7 linked regions of the Rattus norvegicus genome follow. The protein of the gene in region 5 purifies or fractionates together with the protein of the main gene of each other region. This does not show direct contact. Links are inferred from orthologs where the notes say so. Each region holds a gene or a part of one and is shown on either strand. Other genes may lie near its edges.

What was found.
Region 1: the proteins of Cops6 (region 5) and Ube2m purify together in Homo sapiens (affinity purification with mass spectrometry; 3 studies listed by BioGRID and IntAct, counting the BioPlex papers as one, with this or other methods). This does not show direct contact. The link is inferred for Rattus norvegicus from reciprocal best matches to the Homo sapiens genes COPS6 and UBE2M.
Region 2: the proteins of Cops6 (region 5) and Cul4a purify together in Homo sapiens (affinity purification with mass spectrometry; 13 studies listed by BioGRID and IntAct, counting the BioPlex papers as one, with this or other methods). This does not show direct contact. The link is inferred for Rattus norvegicus from reciprocal best matches to the Homo sapiens genes COPS6 and CUL4A.
Region 3: the proteins of Cops6 (region 5) and Tor1aip2 purify together in Homo sapiens (affinity purification with mass spectrometry, with the first as the bait; 3 studies listed by BioGRID). This does not show direct contact. The link is inferred for Rattus norvegicus from reciprocal best matches to the Homo sapiens genes COPS6 and TOR1AIP2.
Region 4: the proteins of Cops6 (region 5) and Dtl purify together in Homo sapiens (affinity purification with mass spectrometry; 4 studies listed by BioGRID and IntAct, with this or other methods). This does not show direct contact. The link is inferred for Rattus norvegicus from reciprocal best matches to the Homo sapiens genes COPS6 and DTL.
Region 6: the proteins of Cops6 (region 5) and Fbxo7 purify together in Homo sapiens (affinity purification with mass spectrometry; 4 studies listed by BioGRID and IntAct, counting the BioPlex papers as one, with this or other methods). This does not show direct contact. The link is inferred for Rattus norvegicus from reciprocal best matches to the Homo sapiens genes COPS6 and FBXO7.
Region 7: the proteins of Cops6 (region 5) and Klhl18 purify together in Homo sapiens (affinity purification with mass spectrometry; 3 studies listed by BioGRID and IntAct, with this or other methods). This does not show direct contact. The link is inferred for Rattus norvegicus from reciprocal best matches to the Homo sapiens genes COPS6 and KLHL18.

The regions. Positions count from the first base shown.
Region 1 is NC_086019.1:82,735,389-82,739,927, forward strand, and holds the start of Ube2m (NEDD8-conjugating enzyme Ubc12), read right to left. Parts: upstream 2,911-4,539; 5' UTR 2,338-2,910; coding exon 2,229-2,337; intron 1,233-2,228; coding exon 1,138-1,232; intron 1,044-1,137; coding exon 1,005-1,043; intron 912-1,004; coding exon 808-911; intron 503-807; coding exon 439-502; intron 352-438; coding exon 211-351; 3' UTR 1-210.
Region 2 is NC_086034.1:83,086,850-83,090,416, forward strand, and holds the end of Cul4a (cullin-4A), read right to left. Parts: intron 3,211-3,567; coding exon 3,058-3,210; intron 1,235-3,057; coding exon 1,139-1,234; 3' UTR 591-1,138; downstream 1-590. UniProt on the Homo sapiens protein: Core component of multiple cullin-RING-based E3 ubiquitin-protein ligase complexes which mediate the ubiquitination of target proteins. As a scaffold protein may contribute to catalysis through positioning of the substrate and the ubiquitin-conjugating enzyme.
Region 3 is NC_086031.1:70,778,935-70,783,360, reverse strand, and holds the start of Tor1aip2 (torsin-1A-interacting protein 2), read right to left. Parts: upstream 3,092-4,426; 5' UTR 2,994-3,091; intron 2,921-2,993; exon of another isoform or gene 2,861-2,920; intron 1-2,860. UniProt on the Homo sapiens protein: Required for endoplasmic reticulum integrity. Regulates the distribution of TOR1A between the endoplasmic reticulum and the nuclear envelope as well as induces TOR1A, TOR1B and TOR3A ATPase activity.
Region 4 is NC_086031.1:105,683,034-105,687,612, reverse strand, and holds the start of Dtl (denticleless protein homolog), read left to right. Parts: upstream 1-1,691; 5' UTR 1,692-1,799; coding exon 1,800-1,851; intron 1,852-1,873; exon of another isoform or gene 1,874-2,134; intron 2,135-2,146; exon of another isoform or gene 2,147-2,401; intron 2,402-2,414; exon of another isoform or gene 2,415-4,579. Other genes in the region: Ints7 (integrator complex subunit 7), read right to left, coding at 1,249-1,342. UniProt on the Homo sapiens protein: Substrate-specific adapter of a DCX (DDB1-CUL4-X-box) E3 ubiquitin-protein ligase complex required for cell cycle control, DNA damage response and translesion DNA synthesis.
Region 5 is NC_086030.1:22,151,177-22,155,746, reverse strand, and holds Cops6 (COP9 signalosome complex subunit 6), read right to left. Parts: upstream 3,060-4,570; 5' UTR 3,058-3,059; coding exon 2,928-3,057; intron 2,721-2,927; coding exon 2,598-2,720; intron 2,400-2,597; coding exon 2,268-2,399; intron 2,065-2,267; coding exon 1,976-2,064; intron 1,885-1,975; coding exon 1,822-1,884; intron 1,458-1,821; coding exon 1,410-1,457; intron 1,099-1,409; coding exon 984-1,098; intron 901-983; coding exon 808-900; intron 719-807; coding exon 618-718; intron 497-617; coding exon 356-496; 3' UTR 220-355; downstream 1-219. UniProt on the Homo sapiens protein: Component of the COP9 signalosome complex (CSN), a complex involved in various cellular and developmental processes.
Region 6 is NC_086025.1:19,714,972-19,718,779, forward strand, and holds part of Fbxo7 (F-box only protein 7), read right to left. Parts: intron 3,369-3,808; coding exon 3,141-3,368; intron 1,218-3,140; coding exon 1,076-1,217; intron 1-1,075. UniProt on the Homo sapiens protein: Substrate recognition component of a SCF (SKP1-CUL1-F-box protein) E3 ubiquitin-protein ligase complex which mediates the ubiquitination and subsequent proteasomal degradation of target proteins and plays a role in several biological processes such as cell cycle, cell proliferation, or maintenance of chromosome stability.
Region 7 is NC_086026.1:119,295,984-119,299,791, forward strand, and holds part of Klhl18 (kelch-like protein 18), read right to left. Parts: intron 995-3,808; coding exon 796-994; intron 1-795. UniProt on the Homo sapiens protein: Substrate-specific adapter of a BCR (BTB-CUL3-RBX1) E3 ubiquitin-protein ligase complex required for mitotic progression and cytokinesis.

The sequences.
Region 1 (4,539 bases), on a different chromosome or scaffold from region 5:
CATTTCCCATCGCTGAGCAGGTCGGGGGAGGCAGCACCGACCATAATCACGTGGTGGTCAAAAAAAATAACTAGGGGCAGGTGACAGGGAGGAGAGGCAAGGCCAAGGCAGGGGCCAAGGCTACCCCACACACCCTACCTGGGCCCCCAATAAATATTTGCAGGGGATGCCTGGGCCAGTAACCCTGGCAGGGATGGGTAATTGCTAACCCTATTTCAGGCAGCGCTCGAAGTAGGTGGACCCGATGTAACCACCTCTCATGGAGCGCTGCACGTTTTGTTCAAACAGCCGCCGATTGTTCTGCAGGACCTCGGCAGCCTCCTTGTTCAGTGGGTCCTCGGGGTTGGGCTCCTGTGGCCAGTACAAGTGGAAGTCAACAGGCAAGAGAGGCAGAGATGGCCAACAAGCCCTCAGCCTCAAATGTCTATGCCTACTTACCAAGAAGAGATACTGCAGGCCATAAATTATGGAGTTTATCGTAAGGACTGGCTTCCAGTCCTCTCTGTGGGCAGAGAGCATCAAGGTTATCAGGGGCTGGTGAGTGGGAGGTTGCCACAGGCCCTGCTAACACGAAACAGGTCAGGCCCATAGAAGGGCCATTAACATTGAAGAGTGAGGGGGAAGATGTGGAACAGGGCAGGTCATGGAGAAAGCCAAGGTCAGGTCACTAGAAAAACAACTTGAAAAGGAAGACAGAAACCCAGACTGACCATAAAGGCAAGGACAGAGATGGATGCAGCATCCACAAAGGCTGAGAGGATTCCTAGAAGGCAAGCCTTGGGAGGGAAAGGAAGGCAGTGCCCTCACCTGAGGATGTTGAGGCAGACGTTGCCCTCGAGGTCAATGTTGGGATGATAAACCATTGTTTCACACTTCACCTTGGGAGGGTCATGTGGGTAACCCTGTCCCACCTGGCTCCAGAAAAAAGAGAAATGAGATGGGAGGGTGTTTTGGCTATGCCCCAGTCTTCTCCACAGAGCCACCTTTGTACACTTGAAACTCACCTTAAAGCTGAACACAAACTTGCCGCTCTTGTAGAAGCCCTGGAAGAGGAAGGGGGAAGAATGCATAAAGATCCTGCTCTTAGGGGGCCACCCCTGGACTGTTCTTGGGAATCCTGCCATGTTTTACTCTTACTTCATCAGGACAGATAACCAGTTTGAAGTTGAGGAGGTCGTCTGGGTCTGAGAAGCTGATGTCACACGTCTTGGGCAGGTTCAGCTCGTTAATGTCTAGGTTTGCACAGCAGGGAGAGGGAGAGAAAACAGGTAGAAGAAAGGAGGTAGGTCTGGACATGTGTCAGTAGAACCCCCAAGGTCTCCTGGACCTGAGGTGCTCTTTGTGTGCTGTGCTTTAACTCACTCCATAGGACTAACTACTCTTTCCACTTTTCAGTCTCTACTCTTCTGGATACACGGTATCCCACATACAAGCATCTTCAAGTGTAACTGGATGCCCATCTCTTGGGAAAGGGCAAGCCTTTATCCCCCAACCCCAAGTCCTCCGCAAGTTCCCACAACATAGTCCCCAAGAACCTTTACTCCCATAACCCTTACTTCCAAGAACCCCTGAGTACCTTAAACCTGAGGTTCTCTATTTCTAGTCACTATCTCCATTCACGACTGTTTACCAGTTCACCACTATTCAAGGACCATGACACCTCCCCCCACAACACTAAGTTCAACCTTCCCATCAAGTATCCAGCCTCCACTGTCCTCCCTCTTCTCCGGATTACTCCACGTTCCCATCTGATCCTTGAGATTTCTAGCATGGTAGCTTAAATTGACCCAAACTCCTTTTTTTTTTTTTTTTTTTAAAGTTCCTGTCATTTTCTCTACCCCCCTTCACCTCAAACTCAAAACCACTCTGCCTAAACCCCTGGACTTGAGTCCTGGACCACCAGCCCCAGTATAAAACACTAAACCGTCTCCTACTTATCCCCAATTCGTAACCTTCACAATCTTCACGGCCCGTCACCCCAGAGCAAAGTTCCCCTCTGACTCTCCAAACTATACCCCTCCCCTAACAGATTCCGGGTCCCTAACACTCCAGGCCCAAATATCCCAACGCCCCATACTCGGCCCCAATCTCTGACCCTCCCTAGTGACCGCACCCCCCCACCCCGTCCCGTATCACAACCCTCGAACTCTGACCCTCGATACCAAATATCAGCGGTGGCAATTTCACGCCACGGTCCCTGACCTCGAACGCAGGGTCCCGACCCCTACCCTTCTGAATCCGCAGCTGCGCCGCCGACGCCTTCTTGCTGCTGCCCTTGGTGCCGCCGGCCGACTCCTCCTCCTTCTTCTGCTGCTTCAGCGAGAACAGCTTGATCATCCTGCCGCCGCCGCCGCCGCCGCAGCCGCCGCGGGGCCCGGGACCCCGGCCACCCGGCCCCCCGCCGCCGCCTGCGCCGCTTCCGCTCCTCGGACCCGCTACCGCGGCCTCCTCCGCTGCCGCCCGCCCGGCCTGCCGCGCTGCTCCGCGCCCACCGCACGGCCCGCCTCGGCTCCCGTAGTCCGGCTCTGGCCTGGCTTAGCACCTCGGGTGTGTTCGGAAGTGCTCGGGAGGACTCGGCTATCCTCGGCCCCGCCCCTGCTACGGCCCCCGCGCCCTCCTCCCCCTCTTCCGCTCGGGTCTTGTGAGTCCCCGCTGCGGCTGCGGACGCCGGCCTTTACCGGTCCGCCGCTCTCCCGCCTACTTGCTCCCTTTGCTAGGAGGCTGCGGTGAGGTGGAAGGAGGAGGCGGCAGCCGCGCTTGCGGCGGCAGGGTACCGCAGGGTACCGGTGGAGGCTCAGCTTCCGCGGCAGGCGCGGCTTCGATGCGGAGGTCGGCAACGGCCTCGGGCACCCCGCCGCTTCGGCACTTTCCGTCGTCTGTCCGCTTCGGTTTTTCCTGGCTCGGCTGCGCTCTGCGCCTGCGCAACTCTTGCAGCGCCCCCACCCCACCCCCCTGCTTGCTCCTCGTTGTAGTTTGAGGTTCGGTTTTCTTCGGTTAAGCTCGGGTATTTCCGTTTGTGGAGGTGACTATTTGGCGGTCCATCGGGTACTTCCTGGGATGCGCACCCAGGAGAGTAGGAAGCAGTGCTTGCAACCATTTTTGAACCAGGCAGGTAGTGGCTGTTTGGCTCTTGGTGGTTCTATTCAATATTGCACTTATGCGGATCTCAGCGGGACCAGGTTACCAGGTTAGACTGGATCCTTGCCCTCTTGAGGGCTCAGCAAAGGCAGAACCTGGACGTTGTAAGGAACGTTGCCTAAGGGTGCAGAAGCAAGCTCCCCTTTAATCCCACCGCAATCCCAGATTCAGATTGATGGGAACTAGTTTAAAACTCGAATTGTGGGTTGGGGATTTAGCTCAGTGGTAGAGCGCTTGCCTAGCAAGCGCAAGGCCCTGGGTTCGGTCCCCAGCTCCGAAAAAAAGAACCAAAAAAAAACAAAACAAAAAAACAAAACAAAAAAAAAAAAAACTCGAATTGTTCTGGAGGCTTGAGGTATCAAGTTGGCTTGAGAACAGGCGTTAAGGGCTGGAGAGATGGCTCAGTGGTTAAGAGCACCAACTGCTCTTCCAGAGGTCCTGAGTTCAAATCCCAGCAACCACATGGTGGCTCACAACCATCTGTAATAAGATCTGATGCCCTCTTCTGGTATGTCTGAAGACAGCTACAGTGTACTCATATATAATAAAAATAAATCTTTAAAAAAGAGAGAGAGAACAGGCGTTCAGGGACACCCTAGGCAACACATCGAGACCCTTGTTCCTTAAATTTCTGTTGTGTAACAGACGTGAGCAACCGTGTAGTTCTAGGGTCCGAGGTTGACGTTGGTATAGGTAGGGCTTACGACTGCGATCTAGAGACCAGCAGAAGTGGCACTGTGCTTCTTGATTAACTTGTTCAGTGAGCTTGCATCCAACCACAGTGCTTGGGAGGCAGAAGAAAATAATAGCTCAGGATGGGCCAGTGACTTTGGCTGTCATCTAGGAAACCAGAAGCCAGAGTCGCTGTTGAAAAACATGACCGGAACAGGTTAGGACTATGTTCTGCTCTTATAAAGGCTCTTTGCTGACTGACAGCGTTTGCACCACCCAGCATGGCACAGTTCTACATTCCTTGCCGGCTAGCCCATTTTGAGACCCAAGACAAATCACTCTAGAACTGTTCATTACTGTTTTCTCAGCTATCCTACTCTAGGCTGATTATTTTTGTATATCTGCTGTTTTTCTGGCTTGCTTTCTTCCAGATAGAATCCATCTCTGTAGTCCAAACTCAGCATGTAGTCGAGGTGGATCTTGAACTAACGTTTTTTCCTGTTGTCTCTGTTTCCTGAATGCTGTGTTTACAGGTATATCCCTCCATTTTTGACCCTTCCAAAGTCCCATGGCTGTGGCTAGATGGGGCTCTGGCTAATCTTTCTTTTTTTTTTTTTTTAAAGATTTATTCATTTATTATATATAAGTACACTGTAGCTGTCTTCAGACACACCAGAAAAGGGCATTAGATCTCTTTACAGATGGTTGTGAGCCACCATGTGGTTGCTG
Region 2 (3,567 bases), on a different chromosome or scaffold from region 5:
AATGATACTTAAAGAGTAAGGGTTTCAATATGGGGACCCAAAAAGATGTCATATCTTAAACATGCATGTTTCAAAAAGGGAGAATCCTTTAATAATTTAGCATAAAATTGAGTTATATAAACTTGGTATATTCCAGAAAATATTGCTTTAAACACTTATACATGATCAAAATTCCTTTGGTAGCTTTTAATCAAAATGAAACATGCTACTTTGTAAAATATAAAGTACTTTTAAATGTTGCAAAAGTGTCTGTCATCATCACCATGCCAACAGCACTATGGAGCCTTGTTCTCTCTGCTCAACCTCACGTGCACACACAGTATGTCACCAGGAACCAACAAGTCCTTTGCCTTTTGACAAACATATCGAAACTCCACAGAGTGCCAGGGCAGAGATCCAAGACGGTCTCTGTGCCAGACTACAAAACCAGGCCCAATTTTATTATGGTAATCACACAAACTGCAACTTCAACAGTCAAACAGCATCACCGCAAAGCCAAAACCAGACCTCCACACTCAACTGGCATGGAAACAAACATGAAACCCCCAAGCCCCTAAACAAACGACAAGCAGTCCTCTGGGTGAGCTGTATCTCATGACAGACATGATGTCCTCTTGGCACATCAGGGACCTCACTTAGAAACCTGATTTACAGAAGCCAAAGTTTCCAGCGTTCTGAAATACACTGCAAAGAGGCCAATGCTCAGGGTGAGAGAGCTGAGTGGCAGCCTGGACAGGCTCTTCCCAGTGCCTGGCAGCCCAGGGCGCTCTCTCTGAGTCTTCATCTGGGGACGAACACAGCATCTAGGGTATTTCCACTGTGCCCCACAATCACACATACAACAAAGCAGGCCCGTGGCCTTCTGCCAGAGGAACAAGAGCTTGTGAAGGAGCTTCTCAACGCAAAGTCAGAGTAACAGAAACGATAAAGAAGTAGAGGAAGGAAGGAGCGGGGAGGAAAGACGGTGTCACCGCAAAGTCCTTGCGCCCGGGAAGCATGAGCCAAGAGCCACATCCTCTGCTTCGAATCCCAGCGTCCAGAGTCGGGGCAGCTGCAGGAACCCGGAAACAGCACAGCAGCGTCATACTCTCAGGTGCTTCTAGTGTGTCTCACTGCGAGACGGCCATCGGCCGCTGCGTCACGCCACGTAGTGGTACTGATTTGGACTGTCTTTGTCTCGTTCCATATAGTCTCTGTCTATAAGTGACTCAATCCTCTTTTTCAAATCTCCAGGCTAGAAAAGAGAAACCAGACATGTTAGGATAGAAACACAGACCCAATATCCTGCACAGAATATGTCACAAAAATATGCAATGCTACAACAGATGTACACACACACACACACACACACACACTGATAACTACAAAATGATCATGTTAGCATATTCTGAACAAATGTTCTATTATTAAAATAAATATATGATTTTTCTCTATTGTCCAGGCTGAACTCACTTTGTAGCCCAGGTTGGATTCGAACTTGTAGTAATTCTCCTGTCTCAGCCTCCCCAAGGTAAAGGTTATAGATGTGCATCCTTTGTGAAGCACTTTTTCTATGTGCTCAAACCTATTCATTCCATACTTACCAGATGTGGTATCTACACAGGATAGCCACAGATTCTGAGTGTTCCTCTCAGTTACTGTAAAAGTCTATCTGTCATTTTCACTATGCAGGCCTCACCACAGAGCCTGTTCCCACTGCTTTAACTTGCCGTGTGGATAGAAAGCAGGTGGCCAGCCACACACACCTGGCCCTAAAGCAGGTAGCCAGCAACACACCTGGCCCTAAAGCGAGTGACCAGCCACACACACCTGGCCCTAAAGCAGGTGGCCAGCCACACACACTTGACCCTAAAGCAGGTGGCCAGCCACACACACCTGGCCCTAAAGCAGGTGGCCAGCCACACACACTTGACCCTAAAGCAGGTGGCCAGCCACACACACCTGGCCCTAAAGCAGGTGGCCAGCCACACACACCTGGCCCTAAAGCAGGTGACCAGCCACACACACTGGCCCTGCCTTTATTGTTTTCTTTTGTGAGACAGGGTCTATCTTTGTAACCCTAGCTATCTTGGAACTCACTATGTAGACCAGGCTGGACTCATCTCACAGAGGTTTGCCTGCCTCTACCTCCAAGTGCTGGAATTAAAGGCATGTACAACTATGCCCAGTCAAAGAACTCAGTCTCAGTGGATGACTAAACCAGGGCCAAGTCCACTGCCTTAGAATGTCTCTGCCCAAAAGGCACCTGCCTCCACTTGTGCTGCAGTAGGAAACACATCCAGCACTTGGGAGCAAGTGCCTTCTGTTGAGGGGAGCACCATTTTCCAACAGCAAACCCTTCTCTTCAGTGGCAGGCCATGCATCTTACAAGCCATGGCTGACCATACAATTAGCTATAAAAGCACAGGACCTAGAACTTTGCCCACCTCTACACTATACTCTCTGCTTAATTACTAGGTTGCTACGTTTGCAAACCGACAAACAGATGCCCTTACTTGGGACAGGAAACAACACAGTATAACATGGGCTATGCACCCATCATCATGGAGGGCAGGACCAGGCACTAGCTTCACCTATGCCTGGGTACTGACTGATCAGTCTGTCTCATTGTGGCTCCTGAGGTACTGATAATGCATTTTATGGGGTATTTCTGCAACGCTCCCCTAGCTCATCTTTTACTTTGCAGGCTACAGAACCCTTAGCACTTAGTTCTAGAGCTAAAAGAAGGAGGGACAAGCTGAGGCTGACTCACATCTCCAAAGCAGGAAATGCGACTATATAGCTTGTGAACTCAACACCACTGCCTGCCACGGGGGCCTGGGAAGTGGCTTTAGGTGTTACGGTGAGGGAAGACCATCTGACATCTTGTGGCCGTGGCCTCTGCTCCCTCCTGAAAACACAGCATGTAACATGCTTGGAGGAGCCGTGAGTCTCTGGATCTGTACAAGCCATTGGCATCGTATGTGTGGGCCTCTGCTCACGCAGGCCCTGTGTTACCATTACAAGCTAGGACACGGAACACAGCACCTGACATCCAGCTGTGCCCACCGTACTCACCTTTACTGGAAATTTCAGCTGATTGTATAATTCAGAAACTAGAAGATTATGACCAAGTGTCTTCCTCATTTTCATTATTCTGACTATAGCAGCGTCGATCTGGTACTGTCTGTCCTGGAACACTCTCTCTGTGGTGCTAACCTGTTCTTCAACCTGGACAAGAAGAAGGAAACGGCGGGGGTGTACAGAGGTTTCAGCATGGCTCTGCATTAACACACTTGGCTTGATGCAGACTGAGGCAGGCTTTGTTCTGCTGTGTTACACTGTAACTGTCCCGTGAATGCCCTTAACTTTTCACAGTGTACAACTCTCAACTAGCACTTGAAGAGTGATCTTAAAGGTTGTATTTTCTTATACGAATGCTGTGTCAAGGGCTTCCTAGCAGCATGGGATGGCTGTGAACCACCATGTGGATACTGGGAACCAAAGTCTTCTGAAAGAGCAGCCATTGCTATTAACTGGCCTCCTTAGACACATCATTGAGCATTTTGAGTTTATTTCCTGTGCAGC
Region 3 (4,426 bases), on a different chromosome or scaffold from region 5:
GCTACAGTGTGCTTATATACATTAAGTAAATAAATAAATCTTAAAAAAAACAAAAACAAACAAACAAACAAACAAACAAAAAAAAACCCCATGGGTCTCATGCCAGATGACCCTCTGAGACAGGGTTAAGTTGCTGAATCTGGAGCTAGCCTGAGGTTACAAGGCAAGCCTGCAGTTACAAGCCACACCTGACTTTTTACTCCTACACTGGGATCTAAACTCAGGTCCCACAAAGTTTAACATTTAAAGAAAACATTTCTCTTTAAAGAAAAGTTAGTTCCCTTTACTATAAAAATACCATGCTTATTACTCTTTTTGAGAAAACAACTTAGAAGTGGGTAGGCGGGCCAGGCCTTCAATCCAGCACTCAGCAGACACAGGAGAATCTCTGAGTTGGAGGCCAGCCTGACCTATGGACAGGTTCCAGGACAGCTAGGGCTACACAGAGAAACCCCGTCCTAAAAAAATAAAATAAAAATCTGCACCACGCCCTGAGTCTAAATTGTATTTTTATCTTCTTCTTCTTTTATTTCCCTATAAAATGTTAAAATGGTGGGCCAAATAGTCAAAGCATAAACACCATTTCTTTTGTGCAGAGAAGTTTGAAGTCAATCCCTAGGATGAATGTAGAATGGCCCGACATCCACAGAAAGTCTACAAATACTGACCGACGGCAATCTCCTTTTCTGCCTGAACCCGAATGGCTGCTTCTGGGCTAACTAGAATTCCATCTTGATGCTGCAGCTGTTCGTAACAACCAGTGCAATGCCACCACCTAGACGGTGGAAAGCAGCACGACACTTAAATGAGAGCAGCATGTAGCCCTACTGAAGCACACAGAAAGGTCTCAAACACTGGCGCTCTTAAGTGGACCTGCAATACTTAAAGCCCTGCTGTTTTGTTCTATCAAGATAGAAAGAGGCAAATCCAGGTAGCTCTGTTAGACCTATCTACACCTTCAGAGTGCAAAAGCTAACATTTTAAATTTGGTTTTGTCAAGTACTAAAGCAGAGTTACTAAAAAGCAATACGATTTGACCTGTAGAAGTTACAAAATTACAGATGAACTTTTTTCATTTCAATCTGGGTTACCAAAATCACATTCTATATATAATCCTTCTAATATTTTATACAGGGGAAAAAACCCAATTAATAATAGCTGTTTTTACTTCTGTACATAAATGATTTCATTAAATATTCTAAATGACCCTACAGTTCTCCACTTTGCTAAGGAAACAGGCTCAGAAGTAGTTATCTGCCAAAGTCCTACGATCCTCAGATAGTACCGGAAGTCCGATCAGTTATGACTCCAAAGTCCACGTATACAGTCACTGTTCAAGATACCCTTACTGACAAACGCTTGTCTTACTGTGCAAAGCTTATGATAAAATATGAGAACTACACTGGAAAACCACTTGTAGGTCAATTGACAAGGGTGTTGGAAACTCAGACCCACGAGGGTGTGGGCTGCAGAAAGCCAAGTGTGTGTGTGCTTTTCATAGTGGCCTTGAAGCTTAATAGGAAACTGAAAGGCAGACAAAGCTTCTCTAAACCAATTTCCCCTTGAGAAATTTAAGGGGCACTTTAGTTCCTTGGGATGGTTTACAATAACTACGTGCAGGACGCAATGCACAACTACAACAGTCAAGTGCTGGTGGCACAACTCTCTATTGAGGAGGCAGAGGCTTGTGCTCTCTGAGGTCACATTAAACTGGCTTAATAGAGGGGTCCAGGGAGGCCAGGGATATAGAATACAGAGATCCTACCTCAGAAAAATAAACTAAAAAAAAAAACCCACAAAACAAGCAAACTAACCAAAAACCCTACTCCTCAAGTGACCAGCTAAATTCTGGTTACTTGTTTATTACAGAAGCTCTAGGTGTGGTACCTCTACATTAGGAGGGAAACTACTAAAAAAAAAAAAAGAGTAAATGAGTCAGCTAAGGTCACATGATAACTGCAACAAACCTCCTTATCTGGGGGTGGACTCTGCATCCAGATCAACAACACTACTTAAGGGCCTCAAAGTTTTCATACACAACCTCAGGTTGTTTTTTTTAAGCTATTCAAAAGGCTTCCTAGAACGTTTTTTATTTTTAGTTTGTCTACTGCGGAAGTTCTTTACTTAAATTATTTTCTATTTGCAAAGGACTTATACAGTATATAAAACTGGTAGTCCTGGGTCCTCGCTGCACGCAGCCTTTAAAAAAACAACAAAAAACCCAACAAAACCCTCTTATACATTTAAATAAGCGGTTTTTAAACCTAAGGACAGGCACTTGGGTGTGGTAGTGCATGCCTTTGATCCCAGCGCTCCAGAGGCAGAGGCAGGAGTTCGGGGCCAGCCAGGGCCAGAAACAGAAACTACCTTCACGGTGGGGGGAGGGGGAGGTAAGGCAAACAAAACAGGCAAATTTAATTAGAAAAGTTAACATCCCTGGATCTATATAAACAAGCATAAAATCTGACAAAGTAGAGACTACCAAAGATTTTGTTCAAAGAAGTTTTTTTGTTTTTTTTAAAAAGCTGGGTATGAAACAGTTGAGTACATAAATAGGTAAGTAAAGTAATTCCGAGTTTCAAAGTTTGTCCATTTCAGCATTACTAGTTACTAACTGAAAAACTTAACTGTTCTATCTTTTAAGGATTAGAAGATTACTGGAATCCTTACGCAGCGAAATAAGAGAAATGAACTCTTACAATAAGAATTCTGGTTTACATTTGAAAACTTTTAAGTAATCTTACCTCTCATCTACAGTCCGTATCAAAAATCTACTCTCACCTTGTTTCGTTTTATGCTTGAAAGATTCCAGGTATGTTTTCTGCACCCTCCCGGAAATTACAGACCCATCCCAACCTACCTCGATTTCTGTTTGTGCCGTAGGGGAGGTGGGGGTGGGGAGGGATCCTTTTTCAAAGACCTTTTGAAAGGAGAAAATAGTAGTTCAGACACTAAAATAATGTTAAAGTTGTGTTTTCGTTTTGCTTACTTACAATTTCCAGCCAGGTTTTAAAATATGGGACAGTCAGGATCAGCGGCGCCACTCGGCTGTCCCTCCTGCTCCACAGCGCTGGTCTGCAACCCCCAGCCGCCACGGCAGAATGTCGCCTGTACCGCCCACGTGACGTGAGCTCCGCAGGGAGGAGCCCGCGGAATGCTGGGATAGGTAGTCCTTTGGCCCCACCTCCCCCAGCTCCTCCCACTAGACTTCCTAGAACGTTAGCACAAGCTTCTGTGCAAGCCTTCCAGCCACAGCCAGCACTATTTCTCAAGGCTGAAGTGACTATGTAAACAGGCTGCAAGACTCTGACCACCTCGTCCCTTATAATAACCTGAAATACAAAGCTTACAAAACCACACGAGGGCAGAAAAGTAAGAGACAGTAAGTGAAGATAGTGGCAAGCACCACTCACTAAGACACGCCTTTGAACCCAGCCTCTTACTCTAACTAGAGGCTATCCTCAAACTGATTGTTTAATCTAAAACTTAGTTTGCGCGTGGGTCAGTGGGGACAAGGCTTCATACCCACGTGAAGTTGTTGTGAGTACCTAAATAGCATGTCTGCTAACAGGCAATAATAGACTAGGTACCAAAAATAGCTCTTATTTTGGGGTTTGGGGGTACAGCCTTCAGTCCCCAGCACTCAGAAGGCAGAGGTGGGCATATCTCCATAAGTTTTACTTTATTGTAAGACAGGATTTAAGTTGACCAGTCTTACCAGGAACTCTTAGAAAACTCTTAAACTCTTAGTTTAAGTCTCAGACTTAAACTCAGCACCCTCTTTCCTGTGCAGGAATTAACAGGCCTGTGCCATCTCTCCAGCCCATCAATTATCTTTTTAAAAAATATTTTACTTATATGTGTATACATGCATCTATGGGAGTTAATGTGAACCATGTTCTTAGAGTTTAAGGAGGCCAGTGGAGGGCATCAGATCACCCAACTGCTGGGGTTACAAGCTATTGTGAGGTACCATATGGGTGCTGGGAGCAATAAGAACAGTTAAGTACTCAAGACTTAGGTAATCAGGCTGGAGAGATGGCTCAGTGGTTAAGAGCACTGACTGCTCTTCCAGAGGTCCTGAGTTCAATTCCCAGCAACCACATGATGGCTCACAACTCTCTGCAATGGGATCTGATGCCCTCTTCTGGTGTGTCTGAAGACAGCTACAGTGTACTTATATATAATAAATAAATCTTTAAAGAAAAAAGTCTTAGGCAATCTCTCTCTAGCCACCCTCCACGCTCTTTCAATAATTAAAAGGAGATTTTTTAAATGTTTTGCCAGGCATGGCATCAGTGACATATATCTGTAATCCTAGCACTTGGGAGGTTGGAGAAAGAGAACCAGGAGGTTTAGGCCAGTCTAGGCTACATTAGTCCCTGTTTCAAAAAGCTCTTCCCATTAAAATACTTTCATTAAAAAC
Region 4 (4,579 bases), on a different chromosome or scaffold from region 5:
CCTCAGAGTCTCCTCCCAATAGAAATCAGACAGTTTGGTCCCTCAGAGTCTCCTCCCAATAGAAATCAGACAGTTTGGTCTTTTTCTCTTCCTATGTACACATCACCCCTTTCTCTTTTCTGTTTCCCTTCCCTAACCCCTCTCCCCTTTCTCAGGGTGACTTGCCAGGCCTTGGTCCTTGGGGCCAGTGAACTCACCCACTCCAGAATAGCTTACCAATAAACATGCCTTTAATACAATCTAACCTGGCTTAAATTGGCTCATTTCACCGACATCGGAGGCTCATTTCACCGACATCGGAGAAATAACCTATCAATAAACAACCCAATACAAACATTAACTTTTTGTTGTTGTTTAAATCCCTAAAAGGCAATACGCATGTTCAAGTCAAAGGGACTAAAGTGAATTTGCAGGCAGATCCTTAGTTTCTAGTCCCATTCTCTACAGGCTATACACTGGCTGCAGGTAACCAAGAATTGTCTATGGGGTAAAAACCTTGGAAGTACACAGAAACAAACGTCTCACATTAACACAGGACTTCTTTACAGATAACTATCTGTCCTTGCCTAGCGACTTATCCACCCGGAGACAAAGGAGTATCTCTTCAGCATTTAATAGATGCATCTTTTTGCATATCACTGCCATTTAAATTGCCCACTTTGCAGACAAATCAGGCTAGTTGATAACGTCGCTTCCCATAATCGCTTTCGTAGAACTGGAATTCAACTCCTAACCCTAAAGTCATTTCTCTTGGCTACCTGCACAAGGGACGCTAACTCGTGGAACTTGTCTGCAGAGAATGCGCGCGTTCAGCCATGCTCTTCCTTATGGAACCATGTTCTCATCCTTATGGAACCTGTTATAGAACGCGCCATTCGAAGTCTCACAAGACAAATCGCTATAAAACGCTCAGGAAACCATATGGCTCTCTTGATGAAGGTTTCACCTGCACTGAACGTTTTAAAATATAATCTCCGACTTCAGGATTTTTAGGAATTGTCTCATTTACTGTATGGGAAATCTGAGACTGTAACCCCAAGTGGTCAAAGGCGTACTCGCTAGCGCAGTCCTCTGCTCCCGCTGTGCAAGGCCACTCCAACAGCACAGCAAGCGCCCAAACGCAGGATCCAAGACAGCGGCGCTTCCCGCCCCATACATCGGCGCATGCGCCTTCCTAGCTCCTCTAGCTGCCGCCACAAGGTGGCGCCACTCCCCCCAGATGCCTCTCCCGTTCCCCTCCTTCCGTACCTTTGTCCAGTTCCATAAGAGCGGAGTTAGCGTCCAGCTCCTGTTCGCCATAGCCGGCATCGGCCAGGAAAGACTTGGTTGAGTTTGACGCCATGATCCTTATAGTTACCGGACTCGCCTAGTCACAAAGATTGCAAACTCTTCCCCTGCACCGCCATCTTCTCCCGCCGCGGTCTCGCGGATTTTTCCCTCCGTGAGCTGTCAGGCAGTGTACGCATGCGCCCGGGCCGCCCGGCGGTTCGCCCGCGCTTCTGTGGCCCCCCCCGCGCAGGCGCTCAGGGGGTTTGTGAACCCTGGGTTCCCGCGGCTGAGCGAGAGGAAGGCGGGGCTTAGAATGGGGCCGAGCCTCCGAGGCTCCAGAACGCTGCGACGAGAGCCAATCAGAGAGCATGACGTCAGTTTGGCGCGGAGTTTGGCGGCCGGGGCTCGCAGTGGCGGGAGTTGGAGGCAAAACCGTGTCGCGCTGTGGAGGGCGCAAGCGGAGGCTCCGGCGGAACTTGGGGGCGATCTCCTCGGCGTTCTCCTCAGCTGAGTCTTCTCCTCAGGACGAAATGCTCTTCAACTCGGTGCTCCGCCAGCCGCAGCTCGGCGTCCTGAGGAACGGTGAGTAACGGTCCCAACGGCCGTGGCGGGAACCACCTCCCCCCAGGCGCTCCACCTTGGATCGCTGCCGACTCCGGGCCTCGAGTTCTCCCGCGGCAGGAGCGAATCCGGGCGAGTGAGGACCGCCGAAGAACCTCGTACTCGGGTTCCTTCTGGAAGGACACTCTTCACCGTAACCGAGCTTTTTAGTTCGGAACGGAGGCCGAAGTTAGGACGTTAACTGGCGCCCCGGGCCCCTGGCTGCTTACGTCAATATCGCGCGTTAACTAGAGTTAGCTGGCTGGTGTGTGTCGGGGATGGGGGACGCACTGGCACAGGCGATGTACGATCTTTGCAGAACCTTAGCGATCCCTGCAAGTTCGTTGTCGTGCACTAGCGCGCGTGGCCCGCAGTTGAGGAACTCAGTCAGGCAGAGAAGTCGCTTAAATCTTGCTTTTTCGGCGCCAAAGCCCCCTCCCCCATCTCTGCAGGTTCTGAAAAGTTCTAAAATACAGACTAAAAGATGCCCATAGCTACCCCCACGAGGCGACCACGGGTAATAGATGGAAAGGTATTGTTTCAAATGTGTTTTGATGCCTAGGTATTTCCAGAAACAGGATTAAATTCGTTTTTCTCTGCACGGTGGAATTCAGCCATATTCTCCTGTTAGCATATAGAAGGCCAACTCATTTCCTACAGTTCTCTTGGGCAGCTTTACAGAAACATTGGCAATGCGATTGGGTTTATGTGTGATTAAACTAAGACTTTGAAGAGTGGGCCTAATAATGTTGAGAAGAGGAAAAGCTCCTTGAGGTCCTGCTCGGATCAAAAACTTTGTATTCTTACTCCTCCTTGGATACTCTTGTAGTTAACATTCTGCTTGCTCATTTCTCTCCTAGAACTTTACAAAACTCCCCCTGTGTTAGGAATGGCCGCCCTGCACAATGCTTGTGAGTGGTCTTTGGAGTTACAGCATCTGAGTTTCAACTCCACCTTCTTTTCCTATGTGACATATTTTCTATCTATCCACTTTTCAGCCTGTCGTTCCTGTTTACAGATACTGGTTCAGTGATAGGCATTGGAATTCCTTTATTGTTACCTCCTGAAATCTGTGTGTCTCCTTTCTTTTTCCCCTCCTGGGTTGCTGTGCCCACTTGCTTGGATGATTATAGCCTTAAGTAAGGATCCACTGTGCTCACATTATTCCAGTCCCTATATTTTGGATTAGTTTCTGTAAAAGCTGTGTGTGTTGATCTTAATCTAGACAGGCACACAAGCATCTTACATTTTGAAGCCCCAAACTGAGTTGGCATTTCCCCAAAATTTGTTACCTACTTTGGGGACTGACATTATTAAACTGGTATCCCAGCTAAAAACTGAGAGTCACTCAAAGACTCCATAGTCCTCATTATGACCTTTTCAAAAAAATTCCCCTAAGCTTGCTTGAATCTATCTCCTTCGTCCCCACTGACTCTGCCTCTTTACCACAAACTGATTCTTCCATTTTCTGTATTCCTTTTCCCCAGACTGGAATCTGATACTTTACTCCCTGGATTATAATATGCCTCCAAAATGTGCTTTTAGTTTCCTTTCTCTGCTGATGTTTGTAAAATAGAATATAATTACTTACTCTTGAGAATTTTTAAATCCATATCTAAAAGTTTTTAGTGTAAGCTTTAAACATGCAAAAATATACCTTAACCTTTTACATACCCAATTATACCAACTTGGGAGTTGTGGTTTCTGCTTTTCAAAGGTGAGCAAATGCTTCAGCTGTTTTGTACGGTTGCTTTTTCTTCTGAATATTCCTACCTTATTTCTCCCCCAAATTTATCCTATTGTAATTTAAAAGTTCTTACCACTCCAGCATGCTACATCAAAAAGCATATAAAGTGCTATTTTCTTTGGTTTTAATACCCGATAAATTATAACCATAGTTAATTCATAGTGGATAATGGGTAAAAACCAAGTGACTTATGTTTTAAGCAAAAAGCAAAATTTTTATTGAAAGTGCATCTTTTAAAGAAATAGACTTAGGTATCTGGTGCGCCTTATGATCTCAAATTGTCTCATAGTTAGGACCTCACTAGTTTTATCTTTTTTAAATGTTTGTAATGGACACATAGTAGCTCACCTTTTGACAGTGCAAGGTATAAGATGGGGATGGAAGGACACCTTCCTTTTGTGAGATAGAAAGGAAGTGAAGCAGCTGATAGGAAAGGGACAGACAACAGCTTTGGAAATAATATGTGGAAGCTGTTGAATTGATATGGTGTTGATCCTCTGAAAATGCAAAGCCTTGTTGTATATTTCTTGTAAGTGTGGGCCTTTAGCTGTGTATTGAGGAAAGAATGGACTTTTCCAGATGAGTGTTGGGGTCTGGGGAATACTACAGGTTCATATTCATAAAGATCCAAAAGTGAATTATGGGGAGATGCAGAAATAATGGACTTAGTAGGCCTTGCTCAATGAGTCACTTTAAATGCTGTTTATCAGTCTGAATATTAGTTGAGGTAGAGAGGCAGAGTTAAGGAATTAGCTTAATTGTGAAAATATCCAAAGCAAATTGTATCTTCAGTTTTTACTTATGTGATTCTTCTTTGAATGGACTTAAAATCCCACATTATACACATGCATTTACATGTAGCCTTTTGTTTTCGAATTTACTTTTTTTAGATGAGATTATTTGAGAACATAATTGTTTGTTGTGGTCTTTCACAGATTACTCAAAGGGTTGCTTAATATTGAA
Region 5 (4,570 bases):
GGGCTTGGCATCCCTCCCCTTCCTATACTCCCTTCACTTTCAGTGAAATTAGCTTGGGGAAACAGTCATTTGTCTGGAGTCATTTTCTGGAGAAGTTGAGGACAGAACAAGGAAGAACTGGAAAGTCAGCAGGCAGTCCTATCACATTCTGTCTACAAGGGTCCTGAGTCATTAAAAGATAAGTGGGTCCTGTCTGAAGAGTCCAGGTGAGAAACCATTGTGCCTGAGAGGACAAAGCCACTGGAAGGGCTGCTAAGGGGCTGTTCTTTATTAGTGAGTTTCTCTAAGGGGAAAGTGCTCAGTCCCGTGGCACAGTTGTCTGAGCCCCATACAGCATCCCTTCCAAGAGCCCTCATCAGAAAAACAGTCCCCGCATCCGCCTGCCGATGCCTTGTCGGTCATACAGGACGTTGAACTTGTTCACAAACTGGTTCATTGTGTTGCACGTTTTGGTGATGGTGCCGAGGTAGGCCATAAGCCCCACGTCATTGCATTGCTGGGAGGGAACAGAAAGAACCAGTTCCCCAGGGGTCCCTCATATTAGCCAATGACACTGAGTTTCACCTGCCTGAGGTGGTTGTGAGCCCCACCTCCCCATCAAGGGTATTAACACTCACATCATAAAAGTCTGTCTTGAACTTGTCAGTGCTGAGAACTGGAAGACAGTGGCATAGGGCATAGGCCTCCCGCAGGATCTCATGGTTGAAGGGAACCTCTCCTAAGGGCACAATGAGGCTGCACTGATGTGGATGTTGTCACTTCTCCAGGAGGGAGGAAAGATGGTTAAAGGTGAGGTACCTCTCCTACCTGCTTCAGAGGCCTTGACGTACTCTAAAATGAGCTTCACACGGCTGTGCAGCATCTTGATGGCGCTGTGCTGAGCTATGAGGTGTTCAGCCACTGCAGGGGGACAGGACAAATGAAAGGTAGCAAGTGGCCACACCCAACCCATACCTCCAAAGAACTGAATTCAACCCCCTTACCAGTGGAGTTCTCCCCACTGCCTGTAGCTGTCATCCGGGCCACATGGTCTACACCGATACGTTCAGCTTCCTCAGTGGCCAGAGTGTAAGTGAGTTCAGCAAACAGCATTGTGGCCTGCAGAGTAAAGGGTTCTCAGCAAGGAAACAGGGCTGGGCAGACGGCTCAGTGGGTAGAGCGCTTGCTGCACGAGACTAAGGATCAAGATGTGGCAGCATGTGTCTATAATCCCAGAACTTCTACAGCAAAATGGGAAGTGAAGACAAATCCCAGAAGCTCACAGGTCAACCAGCCTGGCAAACACGAGATTCTGTCTCCAGGTAGAAAGCTACGACAAACACCCAGGGTTGCCCCATGCCTGTGCACATGTGCACAGCATTTAGGAGACAGGCTAAAGCAGGATTTGAAGATTGCAGGGTAACTATTACCTCTCCATTGATTATATCGATGACAGACTCAAAAACGCTGACAGGCAGCTGTAAAAACAGACGGAGACAAGAGAACAGCTCTTACTAGAAGCAAATGCACTTGAACTTGCCAGGCTGGTTTTGAACTCACAATTCTCTTGCCTCAATCTCCTGAGTGCTAAAATTGATTACAAGTGTTGTTGCCACACTTAGCTCACAATTTTCTCTCTACTGGAGTAAGTTTTACCCACATTACATATGGCGACACCACTGAAGAGATGAAGTTACACAACTGATGGGCGTAAGTAAACAGCAGCGTGGAGATTCAACTCAAGCGTTCTCTAATACACATGATGTCACAGAGTAAATCAGAGCAGAGGCATATAGGGGCAGATGATCAAGACAAAGGGGTCATAGGGTCAACAATACTCACATCTGTGTGCTTGGTCATAGGGTTCAACTTCAGAAAGAGAGGACTCTCAATTATCTCGCAAACCTAGAAGACAAAGCCCAAAAAAAGTCAGTATCTCTTCTTCCCATAACCTTCTGTTCTCTTCCCCAACATGCACACATGTGAGCTTTTATACCTGCTTATGGACGTGGATGTCTGAGGGGTCAGGTGGCCCCCCTGTGGTATACCAACCCAAAAACTCCAGCTCCTTGAAAACCTGTTTAACTGGAGAAGAAGGGGCCAGAGTAAATATTTCTTTAAACCTCTCTTCCTGAGTTTGATGGACCTGGTGTGTTTCCTTACCGGCTTTTCCCTTCCTCCCTCCCTCAAATTTTGGGTCAGTTTAGCATAACTATACCTTTCTATTCTAAATACAAAACAAAAATCTCCCCACTTCTCCTTCCCGCCCACTTCTATTCCCTTCTCACACTGCTCCTCCTTGGTGTAATAATATTCTTTGTCAATGATAATCTTCTTTTCCACGGTGTGAGACAGCAGCTCAAAGGAGTTCATCACTTCGATATTTCGCCCCTCCTGCTTCCCGATCAGAGCCCCAATCACTAAGGAGAGAGAAGCAGAAGTGCAAGGAAAATAGGTGAGGTTCAAGCATCGAAAACCTTTCCCGAGACTCTGAAGTCAGTGTGTATTAATGACTGGGGAAACAGTAATTTGGAAAAGGGGGCGGGGGGAGGGACTGGAGGAGATCTCCAAGAGGAGATCTCCAAGAGGAAATTTTGAGATTTACACACAACACTCACCCTGCATAGGCCGCCCCTCCTGGGAGCGCATGCGGATCCAATGGTCTGAGATGTTGAGGATGACAAGGGGATGAAGAGCGACGGAAACACTCCCAGTCACTCCGGAGGCCATCACGCTGGGGACTGTTAAAAGTGAAAGAAAAACATAGCGGGTGAGAGTTCGGGCCCACACATTCTCCCCTAGACATGGGAGCAGAGGACCGGTAGAGCCGGGCCGTTCATCCCTGCCCTCAAGTTATCCTGGGAGAGATGTCGCTTCTCCCGGGCTTAAGAAGTACTCAAGACACTCCGCAAGGGCGACTCCAGAAGTCGTTCCCTGCACCCCGTTACCTGCTGCATCCACCTCCATGCCGCTGCTGCCTCCGCTCCCGTTCGCCGCCGCCGCCGCCGCCGCCGCAGCCGCCGCCGCCGCCGCCGCCATTTTCCCCGCGCCCGCCAGCCACGGCCCGCCCCTTTCCATCTCGGCTTCCGTCGGCGAGCGGCGCATGCTCAGTGTGTACTCTGTGTTGCTAATGGGCGGGGCGTCTGCCAGTACTTGGTAGCCCATGGTTCTCAGTGTGTTGTGTTGTGTTGTGTTGTGTTGTGTTGTGTTGTGTTGTGTTGTGTTGTGTTGTGTTGTGTTGTGTTGTGTTGTGTTGTGTTGTGTTGTGTTGTGTTGCTGCTACCGGTTCTCATGAAAACCGGCCTGGCCATGAGTTCTGTATTGTGTATCTAAGAATGACTTTGAACTTTTGGTCTCTTGCCTTTACCTCCCAAGTAGGGCTGTTAGTTTCCAGGTCTCAAAGGGGATACTTTGTCAATACTAGACGCAGAGAAAATTGCGATCAAAAAGAGGAAACGCTGTAATTTATTAAGGATATAACATTTTTCACGTTGCATATAATCTATAGTGACATGGTCACTTGTTTGTTGAACTGCGGTCTAACCGTGTTGCCCAGCTGGCTGGGAACTTGCTATTCATCTAGGCTGAGTTCAAACTCAAAGAGATCTACCTGCCTCTACTTCCTGAGTGCTGAGATTCAAGGTGTGCAGCGTGCCCAGCCTGCCTTGTTTTTAAAACGGTGAGCAGGGGGGCTGGAGAGATGGCTCAGTGGTTGAGAGCACTGACTGCTCTTCCAGAGGTCCTGAGTTCAATTCCCAGCAACCACATGGTGGCTTACAACCATCTGTAATGAGATCTGATGCCCTCTTCTGGTGGGTCTGAAGGCAGCAACAGTGTACTCATATAAAACAAATAAATAAAAATATTGAAACGGTGAACTGAGGATCTAAAGTCGGTTCCTAACACTTACAAAGCAAGCACTTTATCCCCCGAGCCGTCTCCCCAGTGGATTACTCCAACTGTTCAGCTGCTTCTTCAGTTGCAAGGCAACTTGATTCTACACAACCTAGTGACTGCTACTGGGAAGGCTTGTGGCCCATGCCTTTAATCCTCGCACTTAGCGAGGCAGAGACAGGCAGATTTCTTGAGTTCAAGGCCAGCCTGGCCAACAAAGTGAATTCCATCACAGCCAAGGTTACACAAACTCTCACAATATAGGGGTTGGGGGAGAGTTGCCTTGGTCATGGTGTCTCTTTACTGCAATAGAACAGTGATTAAGACAAGTATGTTTCCCACTTGGATCAATAACTGAGGCTAAGCAACCTCCTTTAATAGTCAAGAAAAAGGGACTGGAGAGATGGCTCAGCAGTTAAGAGCACTGACTGCTCTTCCAGAGGTCCTGAGTTCAAATCCCAGCAACCACATGGTGGCTCACAACCATCTATAATGAGATCTGATGCCCTCTTCTGGTGTGTCTGAAGACAGATATGGTGTACTTGTAATATGTAATAGATAAATCTTTAAAAAAAAAAAAAAGTCAAGAAAGAGCATTTGGCCCACAGTCATTCATTTGGGGCCAATAACAGCCTGTTTTTCTTCCTTCCTTCCTTTCTTTCTTTTTTTCTTTCTTTTTTAACCAATCATAGTCATG
Region 6 (3,808 bases), on a different chromosome or scaffold from region 5:
AGTGCAAACCTCACCCAAGGCAGCAAAGCAAGACAATCCACAAACAGCACAATCTACCGCACTCTCTTCTAGCTTAAGTATCTGAAAAGGATGACCTCAAAACCCAAACAGTGTTAGCCCAGTGAGGTGGGAGTCACCCACCACCCCAGAGCTTCGGCTACATAAAGAATTTGAGCTCAGTTTAGGGTATACAGACCCAATTTCAAAAATATATTTAAAAAAAAAAAAAAAAGATCAGACTGAAATGTAAGATCCTGGTCACCCAAATGGATCTCCTAATGTGAGATCAGGAGAACATTCCAGAAAGCAGTGGTGGTTGGGAAGGACCTGTGTGACATCATGACTAACATGATCCAGAAACACACTGCCACCTCAGTGCAGCTTCCCTCTAGGAAAGGGGAGAGCAGAGAGGTCATTCAGAGGACTTCCGTGAGGACGGGCAGCTAAACTGTGCATACCATGGCTGCAAAACCTCAGCAGTTCAGAGATGCCGACTTCCTCACCACAGGTTAGAGGCTAAGGAAGGTAATTAGAAGAGACATTCACAGATGTGCACAAAAACCTACTCCAATAGTTCATCCACAGTAAAACCCACTCATTTCTACTACCACAGCTCACAGAACAAAGGGATCAAAGATTGACACATCACAAAAAAGCTGAGGCTGGAGAGGTGGCTCTGCAGTTAAGTTACAGGCACTGGCTACTCTTACAGAGGACCCTCGTTCAATTCCCAGCACACACCTGGAAGCTGGCAGCATCTTTAACACCAATTCCAAGGGATCTGACACCTTTTCTGGCTTCCACAGGCACCATATGTATGAGATGATGCACAGACACAAATGCAGGTAAAACACTCAAAACATAAAGTAAAACTATAACAGACATTTAAAAAGAGAACAAGGAGGCTACCCCAAAAGTGAAGGGTGCTGTCCTAAACCAACATCCTCTAATTTTAAGTCTTCAGGCATACAGTAATTAAGATGTGAATGACTCGGCACCCACTCGAGTGGCTACAGACTGTTAGGAATAAAGTACTTAATTCACAAGGCGCCAGCATGACGCTCTGCTCCATTACCGTTTATCATGATGAGCTTTCCCAAAGGTACACAGGTAAGCACGGCAGAGCCGCCCTCACAGAGAGGATGTGTGTACTGGAGCTTGTATACGCCACTTGACTTCCATTTCTCAGGCATGGATGCTGCTTTGGCTTCAGTCCCCTGAGGAATGAGATGAAAGAATAATAATGAAGAAAGGTATTGTGCTGAAAAACCTGAAAATCAGTAACAGCCCTAACTTACTGTGCAATGTAGCCCCCTTGAGCCGCTGACATGACTCAGCAGGTAAAGTGTCTGTCACAGAAGCCATCACCCAAGGTGGAGCCTTGAAACCCACATAAAGGAAAGAAGGCAGAGAACCAAGTCCACGGAACTCTGCTGCCTGCCTGCCACACATGCTATGTCGCATGACACGCCCCCACACACACACATCATACACATTTTTTAAAAGATACATATAGCCCCCTTAACAGAATATGCACATCATTAATATTGCTACTAGGAGGATAATAGGTTATAATATTTGTCTATCAAAATTTTTGTTTTAATATACAATGACATCATAGAAATAAGGCTTAATTTTTCTCTTCTAAGACTCACATTTTCTACCTAGCAAAGACAAATCGTTCGTTATTCAAGACCGCAGGGAGAACAGCATTTCCCTCATACAGCCCTTTTCCAGAAAAGTCATTTTCTAACATTTTGTTCACATTTGTGTCACTGCATATTTGTAGTGCTCTGTCAATTTACACTGTTATTTGTAGTATGTTATATCTATCTGGTCTTTTGTGCTCATCTGTGAACTCTGAGAAACGTGCGCCTGTGCGTACAGTGTGCACAGGCGCACAATGGTCTTGGGCTACTCCTCATCTCTGTACTCCATCCCATGGCCACAAGGAATGTGTACAGGCCAGCAGTACAGGGGACAGGCCAGAGTACGCAAGACGCTCAGCCCCACCCTGAGCTTACTAGGTCAGAATCTGTGCTCCAATGCGGTCCCTGTATTCCTCAGCTCTCCTCTAACTGCTCTTTCAGAGTCCCAGGCACTCCGCATGTGCAAATGTCTCTCCTAGAACTTACACAATAAACTAAAATGATCTAAACCCTTGTCTATTCTCAGACTATCAGGAACTGGAAACAGAGAGCTAAGAGCAGGAAGGAAATCACCTCACTGCATCAGCAGATGCTGCACGAAGCCATGCTGAATGAAGTTAATGAAGGAAAGCAACCACAGCACAAGGCCGTGAGCGTGAGACCTTGGTCAGCCAGCATCTGGTCAGACGCGTCCCCACTGCCGCCACTTTATTTCAACATGACCATATGCACACAGGCCTTCTCAACATGACGGTATGCACACAGGCCTTCTCAACATGACCGTATGCACACACGCCTTCTCAACATGACCGTATGCACACACGCCTTCTCAACATGACCATATGCACACACGCCTTCTCAACATGACCGTATGCACACAGGCCTTCTCAACATGACCGTATGCACACAGGCCTTGTGTCCTTTTTTTTTTGGACCAGTTGCCATTCTCTCTGTAATACTAAATGCTAACAAGGGAAATGATGGGAAAAGAAGGAAAGCTGCAAAGGGCATTTACTGAGTACCTGTGACAACCCCTTACTATTTCTGACATTTGATATTCAAGAACCAATCACATTTAGTAAAGAAAGATGGACCACCACAATGCCCTAGTGACTGAGGTGCCTAGTGAGGTCTCATGTTTTAGTTAGGGTTTTACTGCTCTAAACAGACACTATGACCAAGGCAACTCTTATAGGATAGCATTTAATTTGGGCTGGCTTATAGGTTCAGAGGTTCAGTCCATTATCATCAAGGCAGGAGCATGGCAGTGTCTAGGCAGGCCTGGTGCAGGAGGAGCTGAGAGTTCTACATCTTCACCTGAAGGAAGCCAGGAACAGACTGACCATCCTCAGGCAGCTAGGAGGAGGGTCTCCCAGCCCACCCCACCTTGACACACTTCCTCCAACAAGGTCGTACCTCCTAATAGTGCCACTCCCTGGGCCAAGTGTATTCACACCACCCCACGCCCTAAGAGGTTCGGGTGGCACTTACCTGAGGTATGTAGCCCGACTCAAGCATAAGGAGATGCACCAGCACTATCAAGGCATCACTGACGGTGGAGCAGCCGGCTGACTGGTACAGGGCCTCTAGGGAATGTGGCACCTGCCCGTCCTCTGTTTCACTGCAGAGCATTGGCTCCAGTGGATGGAAACCAGAAGCCTCTTCCACACTCATGGCGTCCTGAATTGACACAGCTTCAGCACTGTGACTAGGTCCTTCCTGCACAGGATGACAAGAACAGATCCGTTAACTTACACAGGACATTTTATACCCTGTACTGAGCAGAGATGGGTGCTCAAAACAAAAGCCAGCCAGAGGTTCAGAGTAGAAAGCGCTTATAAACAAGTGAGACTGTGACCTACACCTCCATCCTGAGTCCCACGGCCCCATGCTAGAAACACGGAGCTAGCTCCTCGGTAAGCGCCTTAAACGTTGTGCTCACAGCTCCAGCACTACCGTGCCTGAGTCTCTAAAGCTGTGCCTCCTGTGCCACTTCTACCTCAGACTCCATCACGCTTCTGCTGACCTCCAGGAACAACAGCTCCTCAGGGTGCCTGCCTCCCCTCTTGTCTCAGACACACCATGCACTCCTTCCAGTTTCCCCAGAAATTAAGAATCCAATCACATCTTATCCCACTTTAAAACTCAGGATTTCCACA
Region 7 (3,808 bases), on a different chromosome or scaffold from region 5:
CCATCCATTCTCACTCCTCTACAAAGTCCCATCAACAGTCAATGAGGGATAATTTCTCTTGCCTTAACAAAAACACCACCTCCTCCAAATTCAAGTGCTTGATTTCCAGTTTATGGCAATTATTTCTTTAATAATAAATATTGGAGGGCTAGAGAGAGATGGCTCAGTGGTTAAGAGCATTGGCTGCTCTTCCAGAGGTCCTGAGTTCAATTCCCAGTAACCACATGGCCATTCACAACCCTCTGTAATGGGACCTGATGCCCTCTTTTGGCAGGTAGACACATACACAGGCAGAGCACTCACACATCAAATTAAAAAAAAATGGAATTAACCCAAGCTCTAAGATTAAGGGAAATGTAGCTGATAAACATACTATCATTTAGGTACTAAACTATAAGAAAGATTTTAGGAAAATACATATAACAAAACAAATTCCCAAATACATAAAAAACATATAGTCATAGTTTGTTAAAAAAAAAAAGGTGGGAGGAAGGATGGGAGGATGGATGGATGGGAGGATGGATGGACAGGAGGAAGGATGGACAGGAGGAAGGATGGACGGGAGGATGGATGGACAGGAGGAAGGATGGATGGATGGACGGGAGGAAGGATGGACGGGAGGAAGGACGGGAGGATGGACGGGAGGATGGATGGATGGACGGGAGGAAGGACGGGAGGATGGACAGGAGGATGGATGGATGGACGGGAGGAAGGATGGGAGGATGGACGGGAGGAAGGATGGGGAAGGAAGGAGTGTGCGCTCTGCCTGTGCAGACTGCTGCTGTGCTCACCGACCTGCTCCTCTGACTTCACATTCAGCTCATCCCGAGACAGCAGCTCAAGCACATCTTCCAGGGGCAGGGCCAGGAACTCTTCAGACAGAGACACCTCTACAAAGTGCTGGTGGATGAAGCTGTTGGCTGCATCATACAGCACAGCACACATCATCGTCTCAGCAAACTGGCGCACACCCAGGCAGTTTTTGGGGTGAAGCCTTTGGCATAAGATGGAAAGATAAGGGTCAGAGGAAGGAACAGTGCTACCCTCAATCATTCTTTTTTTTTTTTTTTTTTTTTTTTTTGGAGCTGGGGACCGAACCCAGGGCCTTGCGCTTCCTAGGCAAGCGCTCTACCACTGAGCTAAATCCCCAACCCCCCTCAATCATTCTTGAAATGGTTTTGAGTACAGCCATGGAACAAAAGGTTAAATTTTGTTCCCAGCTTTGTTAGACAGTCCCTATGGTGTGAGGTACCACTCACTCTCTCTGACTCTCATCCTCTAAAAGTATCAACTTAAGATGGGCTAGCCTCAAGCCTTTGCCTTAAGATGGGCTAGCCTCAAGCCTTTGCTTCCGGGGGCATGTGTGGCCTTGCCATGTCTAAGCAGAATGGACTCTCAGGAAGTCCTGTGACCTCACTGTCACAGGAGAAGACAGTGAGCATTCGCTGGGAAGCCTTGACACCGAGCCAGATGCTGCGGTTTCTGAGTCTCCAGGGCACAAGTCTACCTCTAGGCACCAGAGGCATGGAAGAGTCCTCTTCCATACAGGGACCATCGCACATTTTTCTTTTCTTTTCTTTTTTTTTTTTTTTTTTTGGTAGAAGGAAGCTCCATGAATCTAAGAGTTCAGAACCCTAGAAACAACCACAGCAGCTGTTATTCATCATTTCAGTGACTAAAATACTTTGCTAGGCTTCTTATACCCATTCTGCAAAATTGTTATATTTTAACTTTTTTGTGTGTTTTTACTTGTGTTTTGAGACAGGGTTTCTTTGTGTGACAGAGCCCTGGCTATCCTGGACTCGCTTTGTAGCCCAAGCAGACCTTGAACTCACAGAGATCTGCCTGCCTCTGCCTCCTGAGAGCTGGCATTGCACTACCACACCTGGCCTAAAAATTATTTTCATCACCTTTAATTACATGCATGTGTGTGTCTATGTATGAGTATGTGCACATGTGTGCAGGTGCCTTCAGAAGCTAAAGATTTGGATGCCCTGGCGATGGAGTTACACAGCTGCCCTGTGTGAGTGCTGGGTCCTCTGGAAGAGCGGCAGGAGCCTTGAACTGCAGAACCATCACTCCAGTTTCCTGGTCATGAAGTTTTTGAGATGCTAGGGACTGAACCCAGGACCCTGCATGTGTAGGCAAGCACTCTATCCCTGAATGCTATCTTCGGTTCTTTTAAGGGCTGGAAAGATGACTCCAGGATTAGGAACACTTACTGCTCTTATGAGTTCAGTCTCCAGCACACACATCTGATGTCTCACAACCTCATTTAACTCTAGCTCTAAGAGATCTAATATCCTCTTCTGGTCTCAGAGGGCCCCTGTACATACATGACATACACTCACACAGACACACATACAAACACAGACAGGCAGACACAAAAAAAAAAAAAAACCAACCCTGGGGGTCTGGAGAGGTGCTCAGAGGTTAAGAGCACTGGCTGCTCTTCCAGAGGACTTGGCTTCAATTCCCAGCACCCACTTGGCAGCTCCCAACTGTCTGTAACTCCAAGATCAGACACCCTCACACAGACACCTCACACAGACACACATGCAGGCAAAACACCAATGGGCATAACATAAAAATAAATTATTAAAAAGTCAATTCTGCAGACTTCATTTCCTAGTGGCCAACAAAGGTTCAGGGAAATCAAGACGTGTTTCCAGTACTCGGACAAGGGAGTGAACTTGACGAGGGCTGAGACTGCAGGCAGACCTCTTGCTTCTGTGGCTACAACACAGATGAGAAATCCTGCCCCTGCCCCTCTCTGAGGAATGTGAGCATGTTTCTTAAGTTCTCCGAAGTGTCATTAATTTTCTCACAGAGAAAAGATGATGGTGACCATGAACCTTTTAGAACTAGAGTGGTGACTTAGAAAGAAAACAGATAAACAGAGCAGGCGTGGTGGTGCAGACCTGTGACCCTAGCACTCTGGAAATGGAGGCAGACGAACAGGAACTTAAGGTTAACCTGGATGACATAAGACCTTACCCATGGGGATAGCTCGATGGAAAAAACACAGCTGTGCCAGCCTGAGGACCCAAGTCCAGAACCCACTAAAAAGCCCCACACAGTGGTACACGTTGGACATCCCAGCATGCCTACTGTGGGACTGGAGGCAGAGACAAGAGACATGAAGGTCACGGGCCAGCCAGCCTGGAGTTCTTGGCACTACAGCAGAAACAAGAGGGACGCTGCCTTGAGGAGGTGCAGTGAGACTCCACCCACTCCTGAAGGCTGCTCATTTGTGTGGCACGCATCCCCCTCTCCGAACCAATGACATCAACAAGCACACAATGAAAGGTAAAACTAAAAATAAAATTTAAAAAGTAGCATTTTCAGACCAGTGAGAGAGTAGGTAAAGGAGCTGGTTGTAAAGACAGACCACAACCTCAGCTCAGTCCCTGGGACCCACACAACGGGAGGAGAGAACCAACTTCCATAAGCTGATCTCCTTATGTGCAACATAGCACATGTGTACCCATGTAAACACACACACACACACACACACACACACACACGCATGCACACACACATGAAACACACATGCGCGCACTCACACACAGCAAACAATGAATGCAGGCAATACTCAGCACAGTGCCCGGCGTGAAGCCGGATCCTCTTTCAGTTTCTGTTATATTTGCTTTCTTACACTCACACTCAGCGTGATTCTGAAGTCTTTGACAGAGTAGACTCCGAGGGATCGGGTTTTCCAAGCTTTACTTTCCTGTTTCCCTCGAGAGCCTTGGCTGTCCTGAACTACTATGTGATCTAAGAAGTGGCCTCAAACTTGCTCCAGCCT